3 linked regions of the Canis lupus familiaris genome follow. The protein of the gene in region 3 purifies or fractionates together with the protein of the main gene of each other region. This does not show direct contact. Links are inferred from orthologs where the notes say so. Each region holds a gene or a part of one and is shown on either strand. Other genes may lie near its edges.

Region 1 (3,970 bases), on a different chromosome or scaffold from region 3:
TCCCCGAAGATCCTTTCGGTCCAGAAATACGGAAACGTCAGCCCCGTCCCCCTCCTAACACCTGAGCTCACTACCAAGTGGTGACATCTCAAAGGGCACAGAAGAGGACAACACACATCTCTGGGAGGCTTCGCTGCCTCCTCGGCATTCTTTCTTAGGGGCTGACTCTGGGTGCTTCTCCCTCCTGGGTCAGAAACGTGTTAATTTATTTTCAAGTGAGGGGAGATCCAAAGACATCCTTTTCTCTCCCGGTGTCCTTTACAAATCAATCGGCTACCGGAATGGGCCACACAGCTAGCTTTCTTAAAGTTGTTGGAGAGGGAGGGAGACTAGGGGAGGGAGAGGGACAGCGAGAGGAGCTGCTGGTGTCCACCACGAGACCCCCAGGTTTCACGCCCCCCGGGACCGGGGGCTGCAGAGGAGCTGCCAGCCGCTCTCGCTTCCCCAGCGGGGCTCGGGACTCACAGGGTCATTCGCAGGCTCCACTTCACCTCGACGGCCTCCAGCTGGCCCCAGAAGAACCGATCGTTGAACTGCACAAACAGGGCCTGCAAGTCCGGGGTTGGGTCCACCAGCTCCCAGGACGCGTCCACCAGCGACAGGGGCGCCTGGGCCCGGTCGCGCTCCGATCCCTGCAAGTTCCACTCCTCCTGAAGCCGCAGTGCCAACACCAGATCCTCGTCCATCTCTGCCGGGATCCCAGGCGGCGTCCGAAGGCGTTAAGCAGGCTCCACGGATCCCAGGCTCCGAGAGCCTGGTCGAGCTCCTAAGAAGTACCGGCTCTCGGGCGGCTCTCGGGCCGGCCCGCCGATCTCGCGAGAACTCAGGAATAACTGGCTCTAGAACGAGAACTGAGTTTGCCCCAAACGCCGAGGCCAAGATTCTGGGGCTTAAAAAAGAGAACTCTGCAGGATACCTCCTAGTGGGCTCAAAACGGGGGCTCCCAGGGCCTGGACTCTAGGAAGGCGTCAGGAGACTGGCTACCGCCTTTACGCTCCGCCGCTCACTTCAAACACAAACGTCACGCCCGGCCCATGCGCAGTACCGCGTCTCGCCGCCTCGCCCTCCACTCTCTTCCGCAATAGCGCCTCCGGCGCATGGGCTCTAGGCCGCGGGCGCCCCTGCGCATGCGCGCTGCCTGCGCCCGGCCCCCTGCGCAGGCGCGGTGCCCGAAGCTCAGGCTCGGGCGCAGGCGTACTCGTCTCTCTTCCATCCTGCTTCCTCAGCCCCGGAGCTCGGCGGGGCTTGGGTGGGTCTCGACAGCGGCGGCACCGGCGGCGGCGGTAGTGACAGTGGCTTCGTGAGCCTCGGACGGAAATGGCGATGGCGATGTCGGACAGTGGGGCGAGCCGCCTGCGGCGGCAGCTGGAGTCGGGGGGCTTCGAGGCGCGGCTGTACGTGAAGCAGCTCTCGCAGCAGTCGGACGGCGACCGGGACTTGCAGGAGCACCGGCAGCGCATCCAGGCGCTGGCGGAGGAGACGGCGCAGAACCTGAAGCGCAACGTCTACCAGAACTACCGGCAGTTCATAGAGACGGCCCGCGAGATCTCCTACCTGGAGAGCGAGATGTATCAGCTCAGCCACCTGCTGACCGAGCAGAAGAGCAGCCTGGAGAGCATCCCGCTCACCCTGCTGCCGGCCGCCGCCGCCGCCGCCGCCGGGGCTGCCGCGGCCTCGGGCGGGGAGGAGGGAGGCGGCGGCGCGGGGGGCCGAGACCACCTGCGGGGCCAGGCTGGCTTTTTTCCCGCTCCCGGGGGCGCCTCCCGCGACAGTTCGGGTCCGGGCGAGGAAGGGAAGCAGCGCACCCTCACCACCTTGCTTGAGAAGGTGGAAGGCTGCAGGCACCTGCTGGAGACGCCGGGGCAGTACCTGGTGTACAACGGGGACCTGGTGGAATACGAGGCTGACCACATGGCGCAACTGCAGCGGGTGCACGGCTTTCTCATGAACGACTGCTTGCTGGTGGCCACCTGGCTGCCACAGCGGCGGGGGATGTATCGCTACAACGCCCTCTATCCCCTGGACGGTTTGGCCGTGGTCAATGTCAAGGACAACCCGCCCATGAAGGACATGTTCAAGCTGTTGATGTTTCCCGAGAGCCGTATTTTCCAGGCGGAGAATGCTAAAATCAAACGGGAGTGGCTGGAAGTGCTGGAGGAAACCAAGAGGGCCCTCAGTGAAAAGCGGCGAAGGGAGCAGGAAGAGGCAGCGGCCCCTCGCGGACCACCGCAGGTGACTTCCAAAGCCGGGAACCCATTTGAGGATGAGGAAGAGGACGAACCAGCTACTCCTGAGGTAGAAGAGGAGAAGGTGGATCTCTCAGTGGAGTGGATCCAGGAGTTGCCCGAAGACCTGGATGTCTGTATCGCGCAGAGGGACTTTGAAGGAGCCGTTGACCTGCTGGACAAATTGAACCACTACCTAGAAGATAAGCCCAGTCCACCTCCTGTTAAAGAACTAAGGGCCAAAGTGGATGAGCGGGTCCGACAGCTCACCGAGGTGCTAGTTTTCGAACTGTCCCCGGATCGTTCCCTGAGAGGCGGTCCCAAGGCGACTCGAAGGGCAGTTTCTCAACTCATCCGCCTTGGCCAGTGCACAAAGGCTTGTGAGCTGTTTTTGAGAAACAGGGCAGCAGCTGTGCATACTGCAATACGTCAGCTTCGTATCGAAGGCGCCACTTTACTCTACATTCATAAGCTCTGCCACGTGTTCTTTACCAGCCTTCTTGAGACTGCGAGGGAATTTGAGACGGATTTTGCAGGCACTGACAGCGGCTGCTACTCTGCCTTTGTGGTCTGGGCGAGATCAGCCATGGGCATGTTTGTGGATGCTTTTAGCAAGCAGGTGTTCGATAGTAAGGAGAGCCTCTCCACGGCGGCTGAGTGTGTAAAAGTGGCAAAGGAGCACTGTCAGCAACTGGGTGACATCGGACTGGACCTCACCTTCATCATCCATGCCCTTCTGGTGAAGGACATCCAAGGGGCCTTGCACAGTTACAAAGAAATCATAATCGAAGCCACTAAGCATCGCAACTCTGAGGAGATGTGGAGGAGGATGAACTTGATGACCCCAGAAGCCCTGGGCAAACTCAAAGAGGAGATGAAGAGTTGTGGGGTAAGAAACTTTGAGCAGTACACAGGAGATGACTGCTGGGTGAACCTGAGTTACACGGTGGTTGCCTTTACCAAACAGACCATGGGCTTCTTGGAAGAAGCGCTGAAGCTGTATTTCCCAGAGCTGCACATGGTGCTTTTGGAGAGCCTGGTGGAAATCATCCTGGTTGCTGTGCAGCATGTGGATTATAGCCTTCGGTGTGAGCAGGATCCGGAGAAAAAGGCTTTTATCAGACAGAATGCGTCCTTTCTGTATGAGACCGTCCTCCCTGTGGTGGAGAAAAGGTTTGAAGAAGGTGTGGGGAAACCCGCCAAGCAACTCCAGGACCTGAGAAATGCATCTAGACTTATTCGCGTGAACCCCGAAAGTACAACATCAGTGGTCTGATGCTTGGCTCTGTGTATATGTATACGTATATATTGCTTATATATTATTTATATTTATATTAAGTTGCATTAGGATACTCTTTATAGTCTTGAACACAGCTTAAAAGTAAAAGACACCCTCTCAAATAAAAATGCAGAATCAAAAGAAAAAAAGAAAGAAAAAGAGTTCAAATTAAGCCCAAATAACAAAACATTGGAATTATTAAAATATATGCTTCCTTTTTAAATTATGCTAACTCTCTAATGAATATATTGCCACACTATAGCATTTCAGTGTATCCTTTTGAGTCATAACACACTTTCTTACAGTATATATTAGGCAGCACAGAAAAATAATATAAGTATGTGGTGTTTAAGTATGTTGTGAAGTTTCCCCGTTCACTAAAATGTTAGGTATCTTTAAGAGTACAAGTGCCGTGCAAAACGACCTGCTTCATACACTCCCCCCGCCTTAAAATGTGATCAAACAA
Region 2 (4,084 bases), on a different chromosome or scaffold from region 3:
AACACTAAATTAATATAAACCAAGACTGACAGCAATTGAAAACCACAACCAACTCAAGACAATATTGAGGGTATTCTGATAAAGAACCCTTCCTAAAAACTCTGGTAATCCCAACTACTCCAGTGAGAACTTTGCTTGGCTGCGAACTGCAGCTCAGTAGCCAAATTTCTTAGTAAAATACTGAAACAGCATCCTCAGTAACTCCAGTAACATTTTGTGCTATAAAAACCCAATGTTGGGACACCTGGGTGGCTCAGCGGTTGAGCATCTGCCTCTGGCTCAGGATCGAGTCCCTCGGCAGGTTCCCTGCATGGAGCCTGCTTCTCTTTCTGCCTAATATCTCTGCCTCTCTCTGTGAGAATAGATAAATGCCTCTCTCATGAATAGATAAATAGAATCTTTAAAAAAAAAAAAAAAAAAACCGATGTCAATAACCATTAGAACTGCACTTAGAATACTAGTAAGCAGTCTGTAGTTTTTATAAAGTAAAGATAATGAAGGGTGCTTGGGTGGCTCAAGGCAGATCAAACGTGTGCCTTCAACTCAGGTCATGATCTCCGGGTCCTGGGACCCAACCACATATCTGGGCTCCCTGCTCAGCGGGGAGCCTGCTTGTCCCTCTGCCCTTCCCTCCCACTCCTGCTCTCCCTCTCTCAAATAAAATTTTTAAAATCTTAAAAAATAATAAAGATAATGAAAGAAGGAACATTCATCCTTAAGAGCTCAAGAAAATGAAAAAAGAAAGGAATATGATAGTCATGATCCCAGTGCCATAAGGGACAAAGGCAAACTACTTAGAATGGTCTTGACAGAGAAGGTACAGAGGGAAGTAGGCTAACAAGGTGACCCAGAGAAGAAAGATGTGCAGTGGAGATGAGGAGTAAAGTCTCCGCCTCCTCCTCCTTCAAACACTCTTTCATAAGGCAACTCTCCCTATGGGAAGAAAAAAAAAAAAAAAAAAAAAAGGCAGTGATTTATAACTTCTTTTTTAAGGGAGGAACAGTCCGCCAAGACTGTACAAGGTAGGTAGGAGAATTATCTATCTACTGACTGCATGAAGAAGATCAGGATGTACAACAGGAAAGATGAAGATGAGTTAGTTTCAGGGCCTCAGTAAAGTGAGGGGAAAGGGAAAGGTGGTTTGAAATTGAATTTGGTGAGTAATTAACAGGAAGTACAGAGAGATGATAATCACCAATTGAGACATAACAGAGGTTAAGAATTAAGACTATGAGGAGCAAGCGGTAGTGGAAGGGGAGGTGGGCGGGGATTGGGGTGACTGGGTGACGGGCACTGAGGGGGGCACTTGGCGGGATGAGCACTGGGTGTTATCCTCTATGTTGGCAAACCAAACTCCAATAAAAGAATATGAAAAAAAAAAAAATTAAGACCGTGGATCCAGACAGCCTGAGTAGGACTCACTACTCCCCCACTTTCTCTGTGACCTTGAGCAAATCACTTAAAGTCTCTGTGCCTCATCTATAAACTGAGGGTAGTAATAGCATCCACCTAATAGGACTACTCTGCCTTTTAAGTTCCATTTGTCAATTGCTTAACACAATGTCTTGCAATTTCCTAGTAAGGGGTGCCTAAGTTTTTGATAAATGCATGAAGTCGAAGAAAGTGGAGGTTTGTTTTGACATCTACAAACTAAATGGGGGTGAAGGGGGGGCGCATGGATGGCCCAGTGCTTGAGCCTCTTGCCTGTGGCTCAGGTCGTGATCCTGGAGTCCTGGGATCGAGTCCCGCCCCGGGCTCCCCAGATGGAGCCCGCTTCTCCCTCTGCCTGTGTCTCTGCCCTTCTCTCTCTGGGTCTCTCATGAATAAATATATAAAATCTATAAATAAATAGATAGATAGATAAATAAGGGGGAGGGGGAAGTAATGGTATGAGGGGGGCAGGCAGAAGGGGTGATACTTTCTCTCAACGATGAGACTACATGAGGCTGCGCCTTTGGAAGAGGTCGTCCTCCTAACGGGCTTCGGCAAGTACCCGCTCCCGGGAGAGGGGCGCGGGTTGAGGGGAACTTCCTTCCTTCCAGGCCTAAGATTTTCAGAAACTCGTTTCTGAGAAGTGGCTGTGATTTTCAGGAGGCACGAGTTTAACTTCCGATCATCAGACCGAGGGTGAATTTACGTTTCGTCCGTAGAGCAGGACTCTGGTCTAGGGCAGGATGGGGTCTGAGCCGGAGAAGGGCGAGGTCCCCAGGGGCAGGATTCGCTGAGGGCTACCCTCTGCGGGGCGCGCTCTAGTCGCCCAGCTCCGCGCCAGCCTGGGAGGCAGAACCAAGACTGCCCCGGCCCGGCGAAGGCAAGAGGAGGCTGCGGAGTAACTGGGCTGTGCGCGCCGGCGGTTGAGGAGGGACCCCACGTCCGGGCGGTGGACGGAGACCCGCCTCGCCGAGCGGGGAGGTGGCTCGCGGGGATCCCCGAAGGGCGGGGCCGGCGCTGGCCCCGCGAGCGGCCGGCCGGGCGCACGACCCCGAAGGGGCCCGGCCCCTGTCCCGCCCGTGCCCGCCCATCGGTGGCCCGGGTCCCCGGGGTACCTGAGGGTGGGCCCGATGCAGGCCGTGTCAGTGCTCTCGATCTCGCGCAGGATCCGCTCGTGCTCCGCGGCTGTCTCCAGGCTCTCCGCCTCCGCCATCTTACCCCGCTCCATAGACTGGGGGGCGCCGGGCAGCGCGTCCCCTCCTTCGCTTCTGCTCACCTTCCTCGCTCCTCTCTCGCCCTAGGCTCCAGAGCCTCCCCGGCCTCCGGCTGCCCGCAGGACGACCCCTCCCTCGGGCTCGCCACGCCCCCTTGCGTCACCGCGTCCGCCGACGTCCCGCGCAATGCCCGCTGGGACTTGCAGTTCCCTGGGCGGTGACCGACGCGGTCCTGCTTCTTTTTTTTTTTTTTTTTTTTAATAAATTTATTTGTATCGGTGTTCAACTTGCCAACATATAGAATAACACCCAGTGCTCATCCCGTCAAGTGCCCCCCTCAGTGCCCACCTCCCCTCCCCCCACCCCTAGTTCGTTTCCCAGAGTTAGGAGTCTCTCGTGTTCCGTCTCCCTCTCTGATATTTCCCACTCATTTTTTCTCCTTTCCCCTTTATTCCCTTTCACTATTTTTTATGTTCCCCCTGCTCCTGCTTCTTGATTCTTTGAATCCACAAATGCGCGTAGAAAGCCCCACTAGAAGCCGGGAACATTTAACGACACCGCATGTGCAACGGTGACCAAGTCAGGCAATGGCACTGATCCTGCACATCCTTGTAGAGGACCCTTGCCACGATGTGAACAAGGCTCTGTGCACGCGAACAATAAGACACAGCAAACTGGGTTTCTGCAGAAAGCGATCTTACAAGCTCCCAAGGAGAGAAAGCTGGAGAATCCCCAAACTAAGGAGTAAGACAGAATGTGGCTGTGAGCCAGGTCTGAGAATCGAGTTCAGGGATCACTTCTGGCTGTGAAGATATTCATAGAAAGACTGGGCCTGGTAGTTTAAAAGGTGTGATTGGAAGGTGTTAGGATCCTCACGAAGGCCAACAAAAACTTCATATGCGCTGGCGTGTAGAGAAGTAGTAGTAAAAGATGGAGCTGCAAAGGTACCCTAAAGAGAAATATCAGGCTGAGGAAATTTGTGCTTTATTCTAATGGTTCCACCGGTCCAACAACCGACTGCATCAGAAGCACTTGGATGCGTTTTTTAAATACAGACTAAAGGTCCTACACCATCTGGACATTCTGATCCAGGCATTTGCATTTCATAAATTCCCCAGATTAGAATTTTTAAATCATATTTATTGATTACTGCTTGAGTTTTTACATTATACGATGAATGGAATGAAAGGCAAATGTGCGACGTCCACAGAGATAGAAAATTTGGAAACGGCTGAACACTTTAAGAATTTTAAGGCCTAAACCAGGGATGTAGCAATGAGAATGAAAGAGAATGAACAAATGGAAAAAAGCAGAATTGGCATGACTTACTAGATGTTGAGTTGGAGGACCTTGGGTATCACTCCAAGGTTTGGAGCAGAATGACTGGGTGAATGGTTTGCCATCAACAGAAAAAGGCATATAAGTACCAAACTGAAAGT
Region 3 (3,511 bases):
ATAAAAATATTTTTTGAAGTTTTATTACTCAAAATATAACTTTGTATCATGTGTAAAGCTGGATCCTGAAATGTGCTTTGTAATTTCTGAGAAATATCCTGCAATTCAAATGCTACTTCTTACCAGCAAACATTAAAATTGATTGCATTTTTGTGTGTGTGTGTGTGATCACTACAGCAAAAAAGAGCTAAAGGGTCAGACAACAGGACGAATTTCAACTCAGACCTTTAAGGCACTGGGCAGACATGTCAGTGTTCTGAGTGTTGTGAAATACCAGAATCATCTGGCTCCTCAGTGAACAGTACTCCTTCTTCCCTTCAAAATAAACAACGGATAGTAACAAATACATACTCAGATGAAACAGGCAGTGGCACACCAGCATTATGCTGCCGGGAAAATGGTCCTCCATCGAGGTCCTCTGCTTCAGTCTGCAAAAATTATTCAGGTACTTTACATAATAAAAGACCAACAATTTGACTAGTTTATATAGCAAAAGCCTGCTCAGTCTTAAAATTCCTAGGAGAGAATAGATTATGAAAAATAATGATTTTTAAAGGTAGTATTACTGATAAAACTATATAATTTAGTATGTTGTTTAAGAATGTTTATAAAATGTTTTGTTCTTAGATTTTATCTGAGAATTATTGTGGGCTGAGAAGATAGGCTTGTGTGTCCCATGAAGGGAAAGTGTGGACAGAGAAATTACAGAAGGCTCTGAGGGGCTGTGGGAATGGGGGGAAGGTAGCTCAAAAAAACCCAGAAACAACTTTTAAGAGAGAATTTTAAAAATTAAAGAAATCTCATTAATCATTCAAATAAAACTCTGGCATTAAAAAAAATGCTATTAAAAACCCTTAGAGGGGCACCTGGGTGGCTCAATTGGTTAAGCCTCTACCTTTGCCTGAGGTCATGATCCCGGGATCCTGGGATGGAGCCCCACAAGGCAAGGGGCCCTCTGCTCAGTGGGGAGTCTGTTTCTCCCTCTCCCTCTGCCTGTGCTCCCCCTGCTTGTGCTCTCTGTTAAATAATAAATAAATAAAGTCTTAAAAAAAATTCTTAGGCTAACAAGCCAACTTACTACCATCATCATCTATAACAGCAAATTCATTTTATGATTGCTTTTTTTATGTTGACTCTGTTTTTTTAAGATGACCTGATATTTTTTTCAAGTAAGCTTTACACTCAACATGGGGCTCAAACTCATAGCCCCGAGATCAAGAGACATAATGCTCTATCAACTGAGCCAGCCAGGCATCCCAAGATGACTTTAATTTAAAAAATCACTTTATTTGCATTGTGCTTTTAAGTTTTTCAAAATATTGCAGCAGTCTCTCATTTCTTACATATGTGCCACCTGAGAGGCATGCTGAATAGGGATTATTATATTCATTGTACAGATAAGGAAAACTAGGGATTAAATAATTGGTTTAAAGTCTCATAGCTAGTTAGTAACAAAGACATAGGAAAGATTCAGATTTGGGGCTTGTTTCTTTCTTTTTCTTTCTTTTTTTTTTTTTTTTTGCTAGACCATGGTATATACACTGAAATATCTTTTTTCTTTTTGGCAATTATATTTTTTCTTTATGCTAAAATTGCTTTTTGAATAATATTTATTACAAAGTAAATTCAGACATTTTCCCCTCACTAATTTAGAGGAGTATTAAATCTGATGCTCAAACTCTAACTATCACTGTTTTTTTATTATCTTCTGGTATGATAAAAACTACTGAAAAAAATCCTTACACTGTGAATTTTTTCTTTTTTCTCTTCTGATATTGAAATTGTGACAATAAATTAATTAGGCTAATTATACTGCAGATCATAAATATTAGCCAATAAATAAATGTGAGCCATACCATAGTTCCAGGCATACTTTGATGTTGCTGTAGTTTGAAAAATTTACTTATGAAGTCCTGTTCTGCCAGACACAAGGGCTCTAGTTCACTTAGTACCTGTTCAAAGATCTGAAGAAAACAAAAATGAACTGCATCAAATGCTTAAAAAACTGCCACATTTAATTCACTTTTCTGTAGGGACCATAGATACTTTATCTATAATCTCAATAGAATCCCAAAAGCAACTACTCCAAGATTGATAGGATGATGCAGAAGTATCAAGGCTTAACAGGGCCAGGCATACCTAAAATAAAACTCACAATAATGATTCACTTGAAATCTGCAAAGAGGAACACAGAGATAAACTTTTTAAACTTAATGCATTGCAGAGAACAGTTTAACTTCATAAAAACTGTTATTTCCTCTTTACTTTGTAGTTGGCTCAAAGAACTTAGAGATGGGGATCCCTGGGTGGCGCAGCGGTTTGGCGCCTGCCTTTGGCCCAGGGCGCGATCCTGGAGACCCGGGATCGAATCCCACATCGGGCATCCCGGTGCATGGAGCCTGCTTATCCCTCTGCCTATGTCTCTGCCTCTCTCTCTCTCTCTCTCTATCATAAATAAATGAAAATTGAAAAAAAAATTAAAAAAAAAAAGAACTTAGAGATGCAAGCACTTAATCATTTTTTCATGTAATGATTTATAATAAATTCTAATAAAGCTGTTATATCAATGAATTGATAACACACAATTCAGTTGCCATCTGACTAGTATTTTTTTCAGATTCAGAATTCTAAAGTAAGATATGGTTAATTCATAGAGTCAACAAAGCCCAAATCCTCAAACATACTTAAAGCAATAACTGCTATTAGAAAACAAATGTTAATATTTAAGACATATTTGTTCCTTTATTTTACCTTATCAAATTTGGTCCTGTCGGCAACATCGAGATCAGAGGCAGACATGTTTCCCATATCCAACAAAGAAGATGACTGAGATCTGCGATTCCCTGAACTCTGAACGCTGAGTTTATTTAGACTAGAAGTAGATCCAGTTAATTTCCCAGAACTTCCATGAAGACCTAAGAAATAATAGAACTTTGAAAGTTGTGACCTTATGGACAAAAGACCCATAGCGTAAATGAGGGCTGTCTTCTACTGTCTTCGTCTTCAGTGCTCATATCAGTCATTGCACAAGTCTACTGCATGGGGTGGGGGTGGGGGAGCTGTAGAGTGTCCTGCTCTCTCATCAGCATTTGTGCCCTATTCTTCAGCATACTGTAAAGAATAGTGAAAACTACACAGATCTACAGAATAGGACTAAAGGGGTCTCATAATCTATACCTGGCCCAGTACCATCAAAGTCACCTGATATTTCCAGACTAAAGTAGATGGAAGATTTCCTTCCTACTCAAAAGACATAAATACAGATGAAGGCCAATGACTCCTTAGTGTACTAGCTAATGTGACTTTTTAAATTTTTTAATGACTTTTTTTAATTTCTGAAGAAAACAGCCATATTCCAATATTACTTGCCTCCACATTAAGTGAAAATATTGGGTTGAACCATATAAAACTGCTAGTACTCGATCATTCTTGCCCTACAAAAAGTCAATTACTATGATTCAACTTAACACATTCCAGAACCCCGAAACTCCGCTTTGTTACTGCTCTGTTC

Evidence for each region. Proteins that work in one complex are often made in the same cells at the same time.
Region 1: the proteins of EXOC1 (region 3) and EXOC8 purify together in Homo sapiens (affinity purification with mass spectrometry; 3 studies listed by BioGRID and IntAct, counting the BioPlex papers as one, with this or other methods). This does not show direct contact. The link is inferred for Canis lupus familiaris from reciprocal best matches to the Homo sapiens genes EXOC1 and EXOC8.
Region 2: the proteins of EXOC1 (region 3) and EXOC6B purify together in Homo sapiens (affinity purification with mass spectrometry; 3 studies listed by BioGRID and IntAct, counting the BioPlex papers as one, with this or other methods). This does not show direct contact. The link is inferred for Canis lupus familiaris from reciprocal best matches to the Homo sapiens genes EXOC1 and EXOC6B.

The regions. Positions count from the first base shown.
Region 1 is NC_049225.1:8,511,558-8,515,527, forward strand, and holds the start of EXOC8 (exocyst complex component 8), read left to right. Parts: upstream 1-1,169; 5' UTR 1,170-1,317; coding exon 1,318-3,501; 3' UTR 3,502-3,970. Other genes in the region: DNA-dependent metalloprotease SPRTN, read right to left, coding at 466-686. UniProt on the Homo sapiens protein: Component of the exocyst complex involved in the docking of exocytic vesicles with fusion sites on the plasma membrane.
Region 2 is NC_049238.1:50,495,446-50,499,529, reverse strand, and holds the start of EXOC6B (exocyst complex component 6B), read right to left. Parts: upstream 2,802-4,084; 5' UTR 2,660-2,801; coding exon 2,547-2,659; intron 2,315-2,546; exon of another isoform or gene 2,138-2,314; intron 2,096-2,137; exon of another isoform or gene 1,923-2,095; intron 1-1,922. UniProt on the Homo sapiens protein: Component of the exocyst complex involved in the docking of exocytic vesicles with fusion sites on the plasma membrane.
Region 3 is NC_049234.1:48,917,394-48,920,904, reverse strand, and holds part of EXOC1 (exocyst complex component 1), read right to left. Parts: intron 2,916-3,511; coding exon 2,752-2,915; intron 1,965-2,751; coding exon 1,857-1,964; intron 429-1,856; coding exon 352-428; intron 1-351.